Linked DNA regions of Caenorhabditis elegans. The protein of the gene in region 2 interacts with the protein of the main gene of each other region in a pairwise test. Each region holds a gene or a part of one and is shown on either strand. Other genes may lie near its edges. The genes, in order: mpz-4, F54D5.5 and apr-1.

Evidence for each region.
Region 1: the proteins of F54D5.5 (region 2) and mpz-4 interact in a two-hybrid assay, tested with the Caenorhabditis elegans proteins (one large-scale study listed by BioGRID).
Region 3: the proteins of F54D5.5 (region 2) and apr-1 interact in a two-hybrid assay, tested with the Caenorhabditis elegans proteins (one large-scale study listed by BioGRID).

What each region holds. Positions count from the first base shown.
Region 1 is NC_003282.8:4,824,879-4,829,083, forward strand, and holds mpz-4 (PDZ domain-containing protein), read right to left. Parts: upstream 2,443-4,205; 5' UTR 2,388-2,442; coding exon 2,286-2,387; intron 1,988-2,285; coding exon 1,877-1,987; intron 1,829-1,876; coding exon 1,611-1,828; intron 1,564-1,610; coding exon 1,415-1,563; intron 1,360-1,414; coding exon 1,049-1,359; intron 1,004-1,048; coding exon 828-1,003; intron 784-827; coding exon 642-783; 3' UTR 610-641; downstream 1-609. Other genes in the region: tat-2 (Phospholipid-transporting ATPase), read right to left, coding at 3,198-3,233, 3,649-3,766, 3,873-3,970.
Region 2 is NC_003280.10:11,564,001-11,569,039, forward strand, and holds F54D5.5 (uncharacterized protein), read right to left. Parts: upstream 3,021-5,039; coding exon 2,843-3,020; intron 2,719-2,842; coding exon 2,627-2,718; intron 2,381-2,626; coding exon 1,670-2,380; intron 1,618-1,669; coding exon 1,329-1,617; intron 762-1,328; coding exon 553-761; downstream 1-552. Other genes in the region: F54D5.15 (ZM domain-containing protein), read right to left, coding at 120-153; F54D5.23 (Ovule protein), read right to left, coding at 4,955-5,035.
Region 3 is NC_003279.8:8,048,173-8,055,973, reverse strand, and holds apr-1 (Adenomatous polyposis coli protein-related protein 1), read right to left. Parts: upstream 5,932-7,801; coding exon 5,749-5,931; intron 5,545-5,748; coding exon 5,390-5,544; intron 5,341-5,389; coding exon 4,614-5,340; intron 4,122-4,613; coding exon 3,534-4,121; intron 3,493-3,533; coding exon 1,939-3,492; intron 1,275-1,938; coding exon 993-1,274; intron 911-992; coding exon 833-910; 3' UTR 506-832; downstream 1-505. Other genes in the region: K04G2.9 (MARVEL domain-containing protein), read left to right, coding at 291-392; K04G2.7 (HTH CENPB-type domain-containing protein), read left to right, coding at 6,643-6,802, 7,726-7,801. UniProt on the Caenorhabditis elegans protein: Has a role in endoderm cell specification and pharyngeal development. Required for the migration of epithelial cells, organization of the anterior seam cells and ceh-13 expression during embryo morphogenesis.

The DNA.
Region 1 (4,205 bases), on a different chromosome or scaffold from region 2:
AAAATATATAAAAGCTGATTTTTTCAAAAATTCAAAAGTCCTGTAAAATCATATGGAGTCATTCTTTTTTATTTCATAAAACTATTCAGCATAGTCAAAAACACCAGAATCTGTCAATCAAAGTATAATAGCTTGTACGGAAGTATTTTTTTAAAAATTGATAAAAATATATAAAAGCTGATTTTTTCAAAAATTCAAAAGTCCTGTAAAATCATATGGAGTCATTCTTTTTTATTTCATAAAACTCTTAAGCATAGTCAAAAATAGCAGCAAATGCCGAACAGAGTATAATAGCTTGTACGGGTGTTTTTTTTTAATTGATAAAAATATATAAAAGCTGATTTTCAAAAAAATTTTTCGGAAATTTGAAATGATTGAATAAAACAATCTAGCTGAAATTAATGTTTAACTAAAGTATTTTCCAAAAAATGTTAAATTGTTCCATCACCGATGTTAGATTTTCCAATAATTAAAAAAAAAATTTTTAGGTGCGACCCATCATTGGCTTTTTAGCGGGCCTTCACGTACATTTGGTTAATGTCTCGCTTTTAGCGCTTTACCTGTGCTGTCTAACACACAGAAGGTCGGTGGTTCGAGCCCGCCCGAGATCAGTCAAATGTTTTATTAAAGAAGAATGAAGTTCATTTTTTAACCGGCATGTTCGAAGATGCCGATTCGGTCACCTTGGTCTTCAGCGGCGGGAGCCAAACGAAAAGCTTCGAGTTCCATTCCGCCGGAATAAAAAATTCTTCAGTTGTGTTGTTGAATCCAACAGCCGGGTCCCTGAATTAGTTGAAGATTTTATCTTAATTTATTTAAAAACATACTTTTTGGTAACTTTCGCATCACTCTTCTTCTTCCCAACTTCTCCCGGCCCTTCTTCCTCTTTTAAAATGGGAGCCAACGCTTTTCCATTTTTCAGAGCTTCAATTCCTTCTACAAAGTATTTACGGACATCTCCACAAAGCAAGTATTGCGGTCGTTCGGCAGTTCTCATAACATTCTGCAATTAAAATAGAAGAAAAAAAATGTGAGGCAAATAACCAACTGCAAGCTGTCCCCGAACCATATTTTTGATTGGATCCGTATTCGGATACTCAACCAACAATCGAATCCATCCATTCGCCTCAAATCCTTCGCGAAATCGTTGACGATTATCTGCCAGAGTGTTGATTGGTTTATCATCAACAGCAATAATAGCTTCACCAATATTCAAACTACAATGTGAAACTGAATCCGGAATAGTGTAGTTGACCACCACTTTTCTGTCGACCTGCTGCACGTTCAGACCAAGCTGCAGGTATTTGAATTGGTAGAGAATGGCCAAATCGATGGTGTGATCCTGTGTGGCTAAGATACCTGAAATTATATGAAAATTACTGTTTCACAATAAGAAACAAATATTCAAACTTACCATTTGGAATCTTAGACGTAGACATTCTGTTCTTCAATCTAGCGACCAGAACCGTAATCTTTGTCTCAGATTTTGAGTTCAAAATCTTTCCGACAACAACCTTGAAGTCTGGATAAAGTGAATGTGGTGCTCTCACAGGTTCAGTTTTCCTTAATAAGGTAAATATTTTTCAAGTTTTCATAACATTTGTCCTTACGGTGTAGTCGTTGGCTTCCTCTTAACAGTCTTCACATTTGACTGGAGACTTGCTCCACCGGTGGTCTCGTCGACATGCTCTGTCAATTGTTTCTCATCGAATGAGACAGTCGTACCGTTCACTTGCAAGATGATGTCACCCGGTAGAATTGCTCCTTTGAATGGGCTCGCGTAATGAACACGAGTGACCAACCCATGTCGATTGACGAGTCCGAGTTGCTGGAAATCAAAAACGTTTTACATAAAGTCATTGATGATGTCGCTTACCGTTATTTTATCCTTCTTTGGGAGCTCAAATGTGGCCTCTACAAGCATTTTGTAGCTGTTTGGAACTGGTTCTCCACGCAGAATGACCACATCTTTGACTCGAGCTTCTATCTGAAATACGTGTTTCTAGAATAGAAATAACTTTTAAAATAAAATTATGTTTCACTACTAGTGTACCATTAAAAAAACCATTAAACCATTAAAAAAAAGAAAGTTTGATTCTATAATAAAATATTCTTTCGAACACCCCCGACTGCCTCAATTACTTAGTTCAAGAAATATTGTTCACAATGAAGAAAAATAAATTAATTATTAAAAAAATCTTGAATAAAGTTCAAAAATTATTATTCAAATTTCTCACTGTTTCGATTCCAAATCCAACTTCCAAATTCCAAAAAACCCCTCTCACCTCTCCCTTCTTGAATCCGGGCCGCTCCCAAACCGTGTCTATTCCCTCTGCACCTTCCGGATAGATTTTATATTTGACTGCAGGTGGAATTTCTTGTGGCATCTTTTCAAGCTATCAAATGCTTTGAATTGAATTTGTTTGATACTTGAATTATCGATTGTTGTGAAATAAATTAGAATCGAGAAGAACAATGATAAGAGGGGGTGGGGGGGAGGGAATAAAAAATTAGAGCAATTGATCGAACGTGAAGATAAAATATCAAAGGTCAGAATTATTAAATCTTTTTCAACGTGATTTTCTAACTTTTTTTTAGAACTGAACTTATTGAGAATGTTTTCGGCATAAAACTGCAAAATCGCGTGATTCAAAATCAATCATTTATGTTTTATGTTTTTTCTTGGGACACGATTCGTATGGAATCGTATTAAAATAAATAAATAAATAAATCGTTGAAACGTGTGAGTTTGAAAATTACTTACCAACGAAGCAAATTAAATTGTGAAATCCAAACTTTTTCACCAATTTCGAGAAACTATAGAATTTTTTAAAAACTGTTACTTTGTGTTACCTTTGTTAAAAAAAAGTAATAATAATGTCTTGAAACTGCATTTTTTTTTGAAATTTTTTTCTGCCACTGCTTGTTTAATTAAATTTTTATAGACACTGATATATTAATCAACAACAAGAATATGAACAATTATTTATTGAATATTTCAAAAATTACACGATTGGAATACATCATAAATTACCCATTTTGATATCAATCACATTATCAGCGATCACCAATTATATAATTACAGCAAATTGAAGAAAAAGAGCAAACAAAACCCAATTGAGAGCCTAAAACCGGTGCCTACAAGACGGGGAAGAATGTTTGAAAGAAAATCGGAAAATAAATGCAAAAAATGAATTTTAAAGGCGAGTGATTACGTCTGGTTGTTCTTCGACCTGTTGGAAAAATAAAATATTATATTTAGAAAAAATGTATCAAAAGTAAATTTATTGCAAAAAAAATGAATTAAAGTTGAAAACTAACAGAAAAAGGGTCAAAGCACAAAGGGTTCAAATGAAAGCACACACTGCACTGCACGAGATCAAAAAGTAGGTCAAAAGTGAATAAATTACAGTATTCCATAGGAGTACTGTATGTTGAATAGTTGTAATCTCAAAATGCATAAAAATTAATATTTAAAAAGAAAAAAATTAAGTTCTAACTATAATAAATAAGTAACACACAAACACAAGTACACACAAAATTAGATAATTTGAGCAAATTGAAACAAATAAGAATTCATTATGAAAATTATTTACAAACGCCAGATTTGGATAAAAAGCGGCAGAACCGGATGGAGCACAATTATACCTGAGTTTCCCGCGAATACACGTGGTTTCTATGGCTCCGTCCATCGCCACGGATTACTGTACCCTGCAGTGGTGATGGTTCCTTTGCATAGGCTGGACGGAAATCCGATGATTGAGACCTGTGAATAAATGGCACACAATAGAGTTACAATAGAAGTACGGTAAGTATATCAGAAGTGAAGCAACGTGCTTTAGAAGTGTGTAAAATTTTATGTGAAAACTTACCAGTCATCAGTATTTACATTCAATGTATGGGGTACATTCTGTGGACGTGTACCCATTGGAAGGTGCATTGCATTAATACTTGAAGCTCCTTGGCTGTCCTGAAATATATTATATTAGAAGGGCAAATGGATAATTTTTTGTAAAAACAAAACTGAAAAGTTAGCCCATAAGTATGTTACCCTTGAGATTTTAAAAATTACTGCTTCAAAGTTTTACTGCCTTCAAACAAAGTGAAAAAAAGTTTTGTTCGAAAAATTTAATGGAATGTTTCAACAACATTATAAATTAATAAATATGATTACTGTACAATTAGTAGTGGGACGTGAACTTATT
Region 2 (5,039 bases):
TCATTTTTTGCAATACCCCGGAAAATGGACGTTCCTACTTTTTTTTTTTGAAAATATGTTATTATTAATTATAAATATTAGTTTTATCAAATCGGAACCAAAAAAATATTAAAATTAACTGTTACTGATAAACGGTGCCGATCGATGTGCCATAAAGTGATGCAGGAATAGGAAAAATCGAGTAGTAGAGGAAGGGATAGAGAATGGCTCTCGGACTCTTTCCCAATACGAGAGGTGAAGATGCGTGAAGTGCTGATGGCGCCGACGCAATAGATCAGACGAATCAAGAGCCGCAGAGAGTGGAACGCGCGGAGCCAGAGCATCTCCAAATGTTTCGACCGGTGGTGGTGATGAGAGCCGCACACACATACAAACACAACTGATAATATTTGGATTTGTGCGGAAAGACAAGATCCTGTTTCGGGTTTATTAAAGAAGAGATGGTTATAAGGTAGAAATGAAAAAAAACCGACATAACTCTTGAGAAAATTGAATACAAAAAGAGAAAGTAGAAAAAATAGCTGACAATCTGGAAAATGGAAAATAAAGCAATTAAATCGACATCATAGAGAATGGACGAGACGGTGGCTTCCGATTCTCCTTATCTATTGTGGAATGATCAAGTAGAGTCACTTGGCTGTCAGCAGAGCTTGACGGAGAAATGCTGTCGACTTCTTTAGTACTTCTTGAAGTTTCGATTAAAAGTTCGGAACGATAGTCTTTCACTTCATCTCGATCATCATCTCCGTAGTTTGTGGGCACTGAAATTATTTGAAATCATGATATAGTCTTTTAAAGCTTCATGTTGGTTTTATCTACAAGAACTGCGAGAATTTATACGCAGACTTCTCAACAGATTTTGAATTGTTCAAATCGTACTGAGACCAATTTTTTCTGGGCAAAAAGTTCTGTATTTACTGTAGATCATACGGAAATGGGACACCAGAGGTGCGGCAAATTTGCCGAATTTGCCGTTTGCTGAAAACTAATGGTTTCGATCAGAAACTTAATGAAAAAAAATAACATTGTGTTTCTTTCATTTTTTTTTATTCAAGAAATCCACACGCGCATTGGGCAAAAATTGAGCGAAACCAGTTTTTGAGCTTCAAAAAATATTGCGATTTACCGAGTATGACGAGCATGGCAAAATTGCCAAATTTGCCGAGTTCGGCAAAATTTCAAAATTTGCCACACACCGTGAAGCAACAAATATAATTGAAAATTTAAAGCGAATTTATATGGCAATGAACATGATTAGATATTAGATTATTGATTGAAATTAATGTTAGAAGAAGAAGTATCGTTTGAATAAAAAGTTTCGGACGCACCCTTGAATCCTCCAGGTGGTGGAGTCATTCCCGTAAGACCTTGAGAAGTTGGTTGAAGGAATGAATTTTGAAGGAAGCTGACATCAGACGGATTTATCAATGACTCTCCGGCTCCACTTGTCATTGTCATCGGTGTGTTGCTTGATGGTGGAGCACTATTCATGAAGTTAGATGACATGTGGTGAGAAGCATTCATGGATTGGCTCATATAAGGGTAGGAGCCCATGCTCAATGGAGGTGGATATTGCTGAGGATTTGATATTTGTGGTTGACGGAGATGGTGGAATGCCTGAAAAATTATATTTATTTGAGGGTTCTCTGAAATAATAATATGAACTTACATCATATCCGGAATTCTGGAAAGCCTCGAGCTGCTTCTTGCACCGACTGAGCTCTTTTCTATAGCAATCCCGCTCCTTCTTCACTTTATCCAACTGATTCATATAGTGGAACATGGCGTTTTTGGCATCATTGCACTCTTTCTCCATATCCTTCAACTTTCTCTTTTCTTCCCGTCGCTTTTGTTCAGACTCTTTGTACTTTTGCATGTAATGTTGTTGAGCACGCTCGATGACTGCAAACTGAGCCTTTTCACTGAAATCATCATTTTCTGATTCTTCAATTCTGTCCTCGTAATGTGAATGACGACTGCTGTATTGTCCAACCGGTGATGGATCACCACTTCCGTATTCTGAAGATTCACCACGTCGACGGAAATCACTTTTGCTGCTATGATGACGTCTGCTACTCGGTTTCCGTCCTTCGTCTATCGTGTAGTTTTGTCGCATCGACTGATGAAGCACGTCACGCCTCCGATGTGAATTGCTCTTCTGTGAATACTTGTCAGACTCGTACGACACATCTGACTCGTCACGATAACCTCCCGGACAGCTTTGAGGACCTTTACGAAGTTTTGGTGCTGATGTTGTGTGATAGGCGGCAGTGGCGGGAAGAGCTCCATCGTCGGCGAAGCGAGCAACAGCTCGTCTTTGTGATTTGGAGGATGAGGTGCTCGGTGCACGGAATGAACGGCGATTGGAGACTTCGCGAGCCTGGAAATTAACAATTTGAATTTGAAAATTTCAAATTTCACGTGATGTCAGAGTGCACCATGTTGGCTTGATCTACAAGAATCACGGAAATTTAGACGCGACTTCTCAACTGATTGGAGGAAAATTTCCGCGTTTGTTGTAGGTCAATCCGTAAAAGGACAGTCTATTTTCAATGCACTTTCTAGTTTTGAGATATTAATTATCAATCACCAATATAAACCAAAAAATAAGTTTAGAAAAACTAACCAAATCCTCGTTATTCTCCTCATCTCCCTTTTTCGATTTTTTGCTCTTGAATAGTGTTCGTATGATCGCCGCCATTTTTGTAGTATCTGCGGCTGAAAAAAACTGAATTTAAAAAAGTTCTAATGAAAAGGCGTAGACACAAAAAAACACGAACGGAAATGAAAGAGAAAGAGAACAGTTCATTAAGTAAATGAGGGGGAAAGGAGAGGAACGCACAGTGGGAGATCAAAGCGAGCCGAACTGGGTGGTCAATGGGGAGAACATGGGGGCCTATAGAGTGAGTGGCGGAGACCTTGACGGACAGTGAAATATGGACTGGAAATGTGGGGAGATCAATTGGTGAAAGAGTTATTGGCGGTTTGAAAAGTAGGTCAAAAAAGACAAGATAATGCATTGGGAAAGTTCCACTTTTTCTTCCCAAATTCTGAGCACAAAGAGCTTATCGATTGAAATCTAATCTAAGAAAACAAAAAAAAACGAGTAAAATTTTGATATTGGATAACCAGAGGTCAAGTACTAGAACTCCATTAGTACGGTAAGAGCAAGCAGAACTATATCAGGAGCTCAACTTACGTAATTCAACAAGTCTCTCCCGACTGTACGCCTCATAAGGTATCGGGAGGGTGTGTTAGGAGACGGGAAGAAGAGAAAAATGGTGTGGAGACAGCAGTCACCAAACCGCCTGTCTCCTCCTCTCCTTTCACCAATAGACGAGGTCTTCTCCAAGCGTTTGCGTCTGCGTCTCTTAGTCTCGCGCGCTCTCTCCCTAGCCCCCTTCGGACCTCGCAATCGACGATCAGCATCGAGGCGGTGTCGAGTCTTTGAAGTGGAGAATTGCGTAGTGTGTCTCCTCTTCTTGGTGCTGCCAGCGTTGACGATTTGAATCGCGATGATTGCCGCCACAAATATAACCGCGACGCGCGGACCGCTTCGCATCCTATACATGGCAGAAGGTCCGCCTAATTCGAATTGGAGAACGCGCGCCTCGGGAGGAGACGGATATGACATTAAGGGTATAATGGGCATGAGAAGCATGAGAAGCATGATAGATGTCAAATGCAAATTAATCCGAGTTTGAAAATAAGCAGGAGGAATCTGTTGACCTCTCTAGAATACAAACACATGAGATTTTACAGTAACGTAACTAGATGCTAAAGAATCTGGAATTCATGAACAAATATAATATGTTTTCCGTCAGAACTTATTTGAGGAAAAAACATTCGAAGAAAATGGTTTTTAAATTAAATTTTGAATATTGGCCAATTAGACAAGACAATATTTCGTGGGCCCCACCACGCCTTGAACGCGTGTACTGTAGCCTGAAAATTTGTTTAAAATTTTAAGAAATTTGAACTTTAGAAGATATTTTCTGTCAGAAAATTAATAAAATAAATAGTTAGTGAAATGAGACTAAACTATAACTTTTGTAGAAAACGTTTGAAAAATTGCAAAGCTGCCCAAAGTATATCACTCAAAAACCGGTCAAACTACCAATTTTGGCATCTTTTTTTTTTTGAAAAAAATCAGTACACACTGACAGAAAAGTACGAGCAAACAGAAAAATAACCGCCGCTGAAGGCAATTCAAATAAACGTTCGGCATTGATCCTTTGAACTGTCCAGAACAAAGGGTGGTGATTGCAACGGAGCAGTAGTCGGTAGCCGGGAGGTATAACTGAACCACGTAGTAGAATTAGAGTGTGTAGTTGAGCAAGATATTATCTATGTACCAAGTTAGCATTAGTTATTGGTAAGTAGCAATATTGATTTTTGTTATCTAAAGATCTTAAAACCACTTTTATAGTTCTAAAATCACAAAATAACACAATTAATCTCTTCAACAAGAAAAATTAATTGTTAAAAATTGAACTTTTTAATAGACTTCGTTTTTGCCTACCACAGTTCAAAGAAGTTTAAACAAGGTTTATATCTTAATTTGGTTTAACCTTTGTTGCACTCGAAACTATTCAAAAAAGATACCAATATTTTGATAATTTGGTAATTTACCAAAACTTTATTTAAATATTGCCAAAAATCTAGGAAATTTTAGTGTTTCATTAGGAAATTTGGGTATTCTATGAATTCAATTTTCATGCAAAAAAAAACAACAAAAAACAACAATAAAATAAACTTTCCTCACAAAACAATAACTTATGTGAATGAAAAATGAAATCGCTGAGAGATTTTTCCGATGAGCAGCTGTTGTTAGTCCGCGCGGAAGGGCTCACTCTCTTTAGCGGCTACCGTTTATTCTACTCAACAGGTGTATACGGTATGTCGTCCGATTTGACTAATTGAAGGTAGTCGTTCACACAGGAAAAGACACAATTCACAGATGGTATTTGTTTGCTTTTGAGGTGTGAGAAGAAGAAGATGGAAAGGGTGACTTCAGAGGTATCCCATTGAGATGCTAA
Region 3 (7,801 bases), on a different chromosome or scaffold from region 2:
AGTTTTTTTTGATAAACGAATATGTCTTTAACGAAAAGCTATAAAAATCGATATAAATTTTGAAATTACAATAGCACACCTTTTGTATTTCACAAAAAATTCGTCGTGTCGAGACCAGATACCGTACTTTTGGCGCAAAAATCGCAAAATTCACGTCTGGGTAACAATTTATTCTTAACTCGAAAATCAAAAAAGTTACAAAGAGATAAACTATCCACCACTAGCTCCTTTTCTTCTGGATTTTTCCTCAACAAAAAACTCTCAAAAAACCTATGAACCTAATTTTTCAGTTCCTAACATTCATCCTGGGAATTTTCTACGCACTGACTGCCTTCCTCACTCATAAGAATCGTCATTCACTTCGTAACATATCCAGAGAAGAACTATATTGAAGATAATGGTTTCTTTGAAAGTTTGCATAATATAACTGATTCTCTCGTGTTTTTTTTTCTCCCATTCCTGCCGATTTCTAATAAAACAAATACTTCTTCACACTAATAAATATATACAATATTTATGATTCAAAAAAGATGAGAAAACAATGGAGCAGAGTGAGGTTGAAAGAACTCGTATTACAAATTGAATGAAACATATTAACAGCTATGTATTGAGCGGTCAGGTAATGGAAACAAGAACAAGAACCAAATCACATTTTACAGAAAATTGGAAAACATAGTATATTGCCAGCGCTAGAAATATGATTACAGGGTCCATTAGACAATAATATAAAAGTTCGAGGTAGAATAAGAAGATGAGAACACTCGACTAGAAACTGGGAACGACTAGAGATGACGGGGATACAAAGAACAAGGTTCGGTATATGAGCGGATCATTAGACTATTGTTACAAGCATTTGTTTAGGATTCGGTGTCACACTCTTCTCGTTGCTCATTTCACCATTATTTCGACCCTGAAAATGTTTATTTTAAAGAATATTTCTTCATGTTTGAATTGATACTGTACTTTTTAAAAAAAAGTAATTATTTTCTTACAGTGAAAGGCGGTTTCTGATAATTGTAGGGCGTTACAATTGCAGATTTAGCTATAGGTGATCCGTTTCCAATTGACGGTGATTGCTCAATGTTCTTCTGTTGCTTCAATGCATTCATATAAATTCGTTCTTGTTCTGCCTCAACAACTGGAGCATTCACATATATCGTATCATCTCTCGTCTGATTCTCAATCGAATCCTCTTCTGGATAGTGCTTATCTTTTAAAAGTGTCGGCTTCGGTGGCAATCGTGGCCGCCGGGAAGCGATGATTGGCTTGGGATTCTGCAAAAAAGCGAGGTTTGAAAATCTAATTTGAAACGTTTAGAATTCAGTTGGTCTTTGATTTTATCAAAGTTAATTTAAAAAAATTGGGAGCAGGGCTCGGCATTTTTTGATTTTTTTTTGCTAAAAAAAAATTAATAAAAAACTCACTTTCTATTTTTCCATATTTTACAAATATTCTTTAACAAAATGTGGGTTTATTTATGGTTTTTAGTGTTTTTTTTTTCAAAAGTTAAATATCTCTGATATATTTTTTAAAGTTTGTTTTTCTACTGTACTCATTTACGTTAATAAAACAAAAAAAAATTAACTTGGATCAGAAGCTGTCTAAACTTGGGCAAGAAGCTAGAGCCAAATGCCGAGTTTTTACCAGTTTTCATTTTTTGTTGGTTCAAGTTTGGATTTTTTTCTAAAATCGAACATTTTCGTTTTTTTTTTCCCGATATATTGAAAAACAATTTCGGGTTTTCGAAAAAATCTCAAATATTGGTCATATTACTATTTTTAGGCAAAAGTTATGTTTTTTTTAAATATTTTTTTTCATCAATATACAATTGAATTTTGTGATTAATTTTTTGAATTTTCTCTCGTTTTTTTCGATTTTCAATTTTCATGAGACATTGTTTAATTCTATAAAATCAGAGTTTTTTAATAGAATAAATACCTTATCAACAAGTGATCCATTCGTTTTTGGAACAGGCAGTCTTGACTTTCCATTCGTTGATACTCGGGTGGCTTGTCGAACTCCTGGGAGTGAAGATGCAGATCCTTTTGGTGTGGAAGTAGCTAAAGCTTTTGAATCTCGTGACGTTGTCGTAGTTTCATTTCTTTGCGATGAACCGCTTCCACTAGAAATCATTGAACAATCGATAGTTAGTTGTGCATCAACTCCATCATCAAACTGAGTCGCATCAGGATCCTCCTCATCTTCATAATCTTCGAAATGATCATAAGTATAGTCGTAATCATCATCATCGACACAATCCATTGGAAGAGATGCATCGATCTCATCGTCAAATCTCATAGTGTTTGCAGCAGCACCAGAAGTTGATGAATTTGGTTCTTCAGCAGTTAATCCAAAACTATCTTCACTACTAGCTTGGCTTTCCAATGACTCCATTCGATGTAATTGTTGTTGTGGAGACCAGTCTGAGCCTCTTGCCACATCAATGCCGTTATGATCGCTGGGCTCATGCGATGCGGTGAATGCGTCGCGGCGATCGGCTTCCTCGTTTTTTGAATGACTTCTTCTCTCTGGCTCGGGTTCAAGATATTGTTGTGTACCAGCAAGTCGTGGAGATATAATTCGACTTTTTGGCATCTCTGACATTATTGATTCCATTAAAAGACGATCTGCATCAGAAGCATCTTGACGACGATTAGGTTGAGTTCGATGAGAAGATGACTTTGGAATCGGTGAGGTATCTGGATGAGACCATGCAGGAGACGATGTTGTTTTCTGAGTTGGAGAGAAGAATCCATTAAGGCGAGGCGAGACTTTCATCTTCGGAGTAGACGACGAAGTAGGCATTTCAGATTGAATAGAACGAGTCAAAAGCTCGTCATCTGTCTTTTGTGCGGCACCTCCTATTATAGCATAATCACCTTCTTCCTCCTCAAGAGATGGACCTGGGAGAACATCATCAGGACTATCCAACTCTTCTGAAGTCTTTCGTGGAACTGTCCCGTTCGGTGTCTGTTCGTGTACCAATATTGGATTCAAAATAGCATAAGTTGGTGTAATAATGTTATCCATTGGCACAGTAGTTGCACCATCACTCCGAGTCATAGTGTTAGCTGATCCACTGCTATAATGTGTAGTGTTCTGCTGTTGAGACGTCAATTGATGATGTTCCGATTCAGTGGATTTAGGTAAATTGAACACCTGAGCACACATTGTTGGAGAAGCTGGAATATCATTGTATGATACAGGAGAAAGAGCACGAGAACTGTTGGCTGCAGTATCCAGAGAAGAATTCCAGTTTGTCATAACACTTCCAGGATTCATCGAGCCGAGACTTCTTTCACTGTTACTTCGTGTTCCCATTACGGTAGATGTGGGAATATCTAGATCGTCATCCGTAGGAGGAACTGGATCAGCTTCCTGAGCTTTTTGCATTTGTTGCTGTTGTTGAATTTGATGAAATTGTTGTTGTTGCTGCTGAAGGTACATGATTTGTTGATGATGTTCCATTTGCGCTTGATCCTCCGTCTGAAACTAAGAGAAAATTACAGAAAAAAACGCTGGAAAATCGTTACCATAATTTGTTGTTGTTGCTGCAATTGATAGATCATTTGTTGTTGCTGATGTTGATCCATTTGTTGATTGTAGGACTGTGCCATCACAAATCCATTTCGTTGAACGGCAAAATGTCTTGGCAGACTACTAGATCTTTGATCAACTTGTGGAGTCTGTATCAACTGTTGTTGAGCCTGTGGTTGTATATATTTTCCAGGTGATGCTCGAGTTGCTCTCAGTGATAGTAATCTTGGTGACGCAGTTCCATGATAAGCATGATGAGATGTTTGCATCTGAAGTTGTGGCTCCGAAAGCATTTGCATCCCTGTGGCTCCTCCTCCAACAGAATGTGACATATCACCATAACGATGACTACACGGTTGATTAAGAGTATTCAGCACAGACTTCACTGCTGTCCGAATATCATCACGATTCGAGTTTCGGAGTACGTTGAGTTGCTGTACTGCAGCCATATCCTGCCGAATCATTTGCTGCATGTGGGGATCTTTGACAATTAGGTTTGCAATAGCTCCTAGAGTATTTGTAACACAAGTGAACGAGGCACTCTTGAGCAAAGTGAGCATTCGAGTGATGAGCAAGCTTCTTAGCTGAAATTTTATTGGATTAATTGAAATAATGATATTTGTTCAGTTTGATCAATTTTATGTGCAAAAGGGAAGTGTTTGTGGGTTCTTTTGCCTAAAAACTTCAACTGACACAAAACCATCGAATTTCGTAATTTCTCAAAAAAAAAACCTACTTACTTCTCAAAAAATTTACAAAAAGGTGAAAAAAAGGGTAAAATTTTTCCAAAATTTTCTTTTAAAATCCCTGTTGAAGAAATCACTTTTTGTGGCATATTTTTCTGACTTTTATCTCTCGTTAATTTATTTAGGCACATTTTAAGTCGATATTCAGAAATGTCCAAAATTGGAAACAAGCGCAAGTTGACGAAAGATTTAGCAAGATTTGGATTTTTTTTTGCAAAATTTTGACTCGCCATGAAATTTTTTTCGATTTTTTTCTTTCTATTTATGAAAAAAAAAGATAACTTTGAAACCTCACTTGCATTTTTCAACAAAAACAAATCAAAAACTAACCTCTAAATGCGTGGAAGTATTCGCGAGATATTGTGATACATACTTCAGAATTCCAGTAGCTGAATCAACAAGTGACGTGAATCTTGCATCAGGAGATAGAAGGCTGGCTAATACTTTTAAACAATTCGGAGTATCACAAATAGTTCGTTTATTCTCTACTGAGTGACCAGCAAGATTCCACAAAGCAGATAATGTTGCTGTAACATCGAATCTATGTGTATGTGCATGTACTGCAGCAATTGAAAGTGCATGAACTGTTGGTTGAAGAGCTTCACTCATTCCTGAATCGGCGTTCCATGAGAGATTTCTGATTAGTCCAGCGTATACTTGAGTTATATTTGGAGATTCGATCACAATTCGAACAACGCATCGAATGAATCCATCATATGAGCATAGCCGGCGTTTAGAGTGAATTTGACCGTATGTTAAATTCGTAAGAGCATTGGCAATAAGTTTTCGAATATTTCGATGCTCTCCAGGATTGGTCTCATTGATTCCAAATGTGTGAACTTCAAGAATTAAAACTTCTGCAAGCGCTTCAACAAGTCCTAATACTGTAGCAACTTTTCGATATTCTTCTCCAAATGATTCCTTAACGATTGTGTGAAGAGCTGCATTTAGTCGATGATAATAAGAAGCTGGTGGTGTTGATGGTTTCCTTCGAAGATAATATACTTGTTCTCTAACACAGTTTGACGCAGGAAGAGCTTTTTTCAGCCGTCTTTTTCTAAAATTAAACGATTTTTTGAAAAATATTCTGAAAATTTCGGATTTACCTGTTAACATCAGATTCACTCGTTATCAATGCAAAAATCTTTTCGTGAAGTTCTCGAAGTTTATTATCATCTTCATCGGTCGGAACAATATCACGTTTGTGTTCGAAATGTAGAGATGAAAGAAGAACTGTTATAGCATCGTCAACCTCGATCGCCTGTAATTAAACTTTTAAATATTGTATTTTCAGAAAAAATAGTTAAAAAGCTTAAAAAATACTTTTATATTCTAATTTTTTACGCTCCGATTTTTTTTACTTAGAAGACCATTGTACAGGTACAAAAATTGCTCAAATTCCTCAAAAAGTCAAAACTTGGCCTTTTACCAACATCGAAAATCTGTTTTTTCCAACAATCCTTACCGTATCTTCGCGAAATCTTGCATAATGCTCTTCTTCATCATCTACATCACTAACATCATGTCGCACATTCGATGTTCTTTTTGATGATCCTGCTCGAGGTTGTGAGTAGATTCCACTTCCACCGGTATTTGATCCTGTTCTGTGTATCGTTGTTTCATTTTCATCACTACTACTAGAGCTCATCTGAAATTTAATTTTATTATTTTGAATGATCTTTGATATATTTGAAGAGAATATATAAGAAATAGAAAAGGTACATCAATGTATTCCAATAAATAATAATTGTTAAAAATCACTCTTTTAACAAATTAATATTTGAAAACAAAAAATTGTTAAGCTTTCAAAACAAACTCAAAACCTAAATTTTTCTTGTTATATTGTTGGTTTTCTGAATGATTTCAATTTTTTGGACCGAAAATATTTCTTGTTCCAGCTTGAATAGCACTTTTAATTAAACTCCTTCGTGGTTTTATTCCCATTTTGATTCGAAAGAACAGGTGTTTACAATGCGAGAGGTGACCGTTTTTGCTGCTATTCTTCAATTTTCAAGGCCGTAAAAACAACATGGAAAACTATGCTGTCCATGGTTCAAAAGTACTCGAAGGCCAGCCACGAACCCCTCGGTTGAAAAAAAAAGAAGAAACAGAGATGAAGTCAATCGGTTTGACCTTCAGAAAACCGAAGAAACGCAATGTAAATATGCAGTGTCGAGTGTATAACTATACAGGGAGGGCGCCACACAGTACACTACGTGTTCCGCAGTTCCAAAACCGGCGCACGAAAGGTAAAAATGGTTTGCAACCAACAAGATGAATCGGAAGGAGGCGTTTGAACGGGGGTAAAACTAAGAAGAAAAAAGACAAGAGAATAGTTCATTTTGTGTATTTGCGTTGAATGGCAACTACTACATCTACTTCGAGTCCTTCAACATCTTCTACATCTAGCTCGTCGAACTGTCGTATTGAAGAAGGCGAGTTAGAGCAGAAACTATTTAATGTCTATAATGAAGAGGTGAAGATGTGCGATAGCAATGGACAGAGTACTCAACATATAGGTGAGATTTTATATATATATATATATATGATACAATTTAGAAGGTGGGAATGGAAAAACTGGGAGACGGATGTAATGGTTGATTTAGGCTGAATAGGTACGAATAGAATGTTTCTCTGTTTATTTTAACAATTTGGGTGATGTACGTTCGCTAAATGTTTTCCAAAAATTCAGTCGACCCGACTAGGTTCTGAACATTCAGACTTTTTCTATTCATTATTATACATTCACTTAAAATTATTTTTGAAAAATCATGAAATTTGGGTTCGGTCACAATAAAAATTCCGGAGATCTTGGCGAGACCCACCGATAAAATAATCGTCTACCTTTAAAATGGAGTTAGATCTTGCCACGAAATTATGATATTCAAATTCAAATTTCGCGCCGAAAAAATAGCAGAAAAGGATACAGAGATATTAGGCAGATAGAGAAAGTGTGTGTAATCCCACCTACTGTTTTTCCTCTCAACAAGCCAATTTGGTTGTTGCTGTTGAGAAAGGGGCAGATTGCGCGACGATTGCGTAGTCCCTTTCTCTAGTCAAGGGTATTTGTGTTGGGTAGCAAACACGCCACCACTTTTTTGTGGTCCCATCAGGAATCTTATGTCCCAACACAATAGGGTTACCGGAATGAATAGAACTGTAACTAACGAGGTGTGAAAATTTGAGTGATGAGATACGACAGTTTTCATTCATAAAATGACTTTCCAATGATTTTGGAGTATACTTTTTGAACTGAACAGGCCTTTTATATTATGTGAACATATACCCTGCACAATATGGGTAATTATAATGTTCATATATGGCTTCCAAATTAGACCGTAGTATATCGAAGCACAGATAGAATACCTAAAGTTGATAAAAGGATCAACTAATATATTTGAATCAAATTTGAAAACTTAAATAGAAAAAAAAGTGTTTTAAGGAGACGAATGGATGAGGCGTGAGATTCGCAGAATTTGCGGCTTCGATGTCTCTGATCGGTGGATTAATTTGTTTCG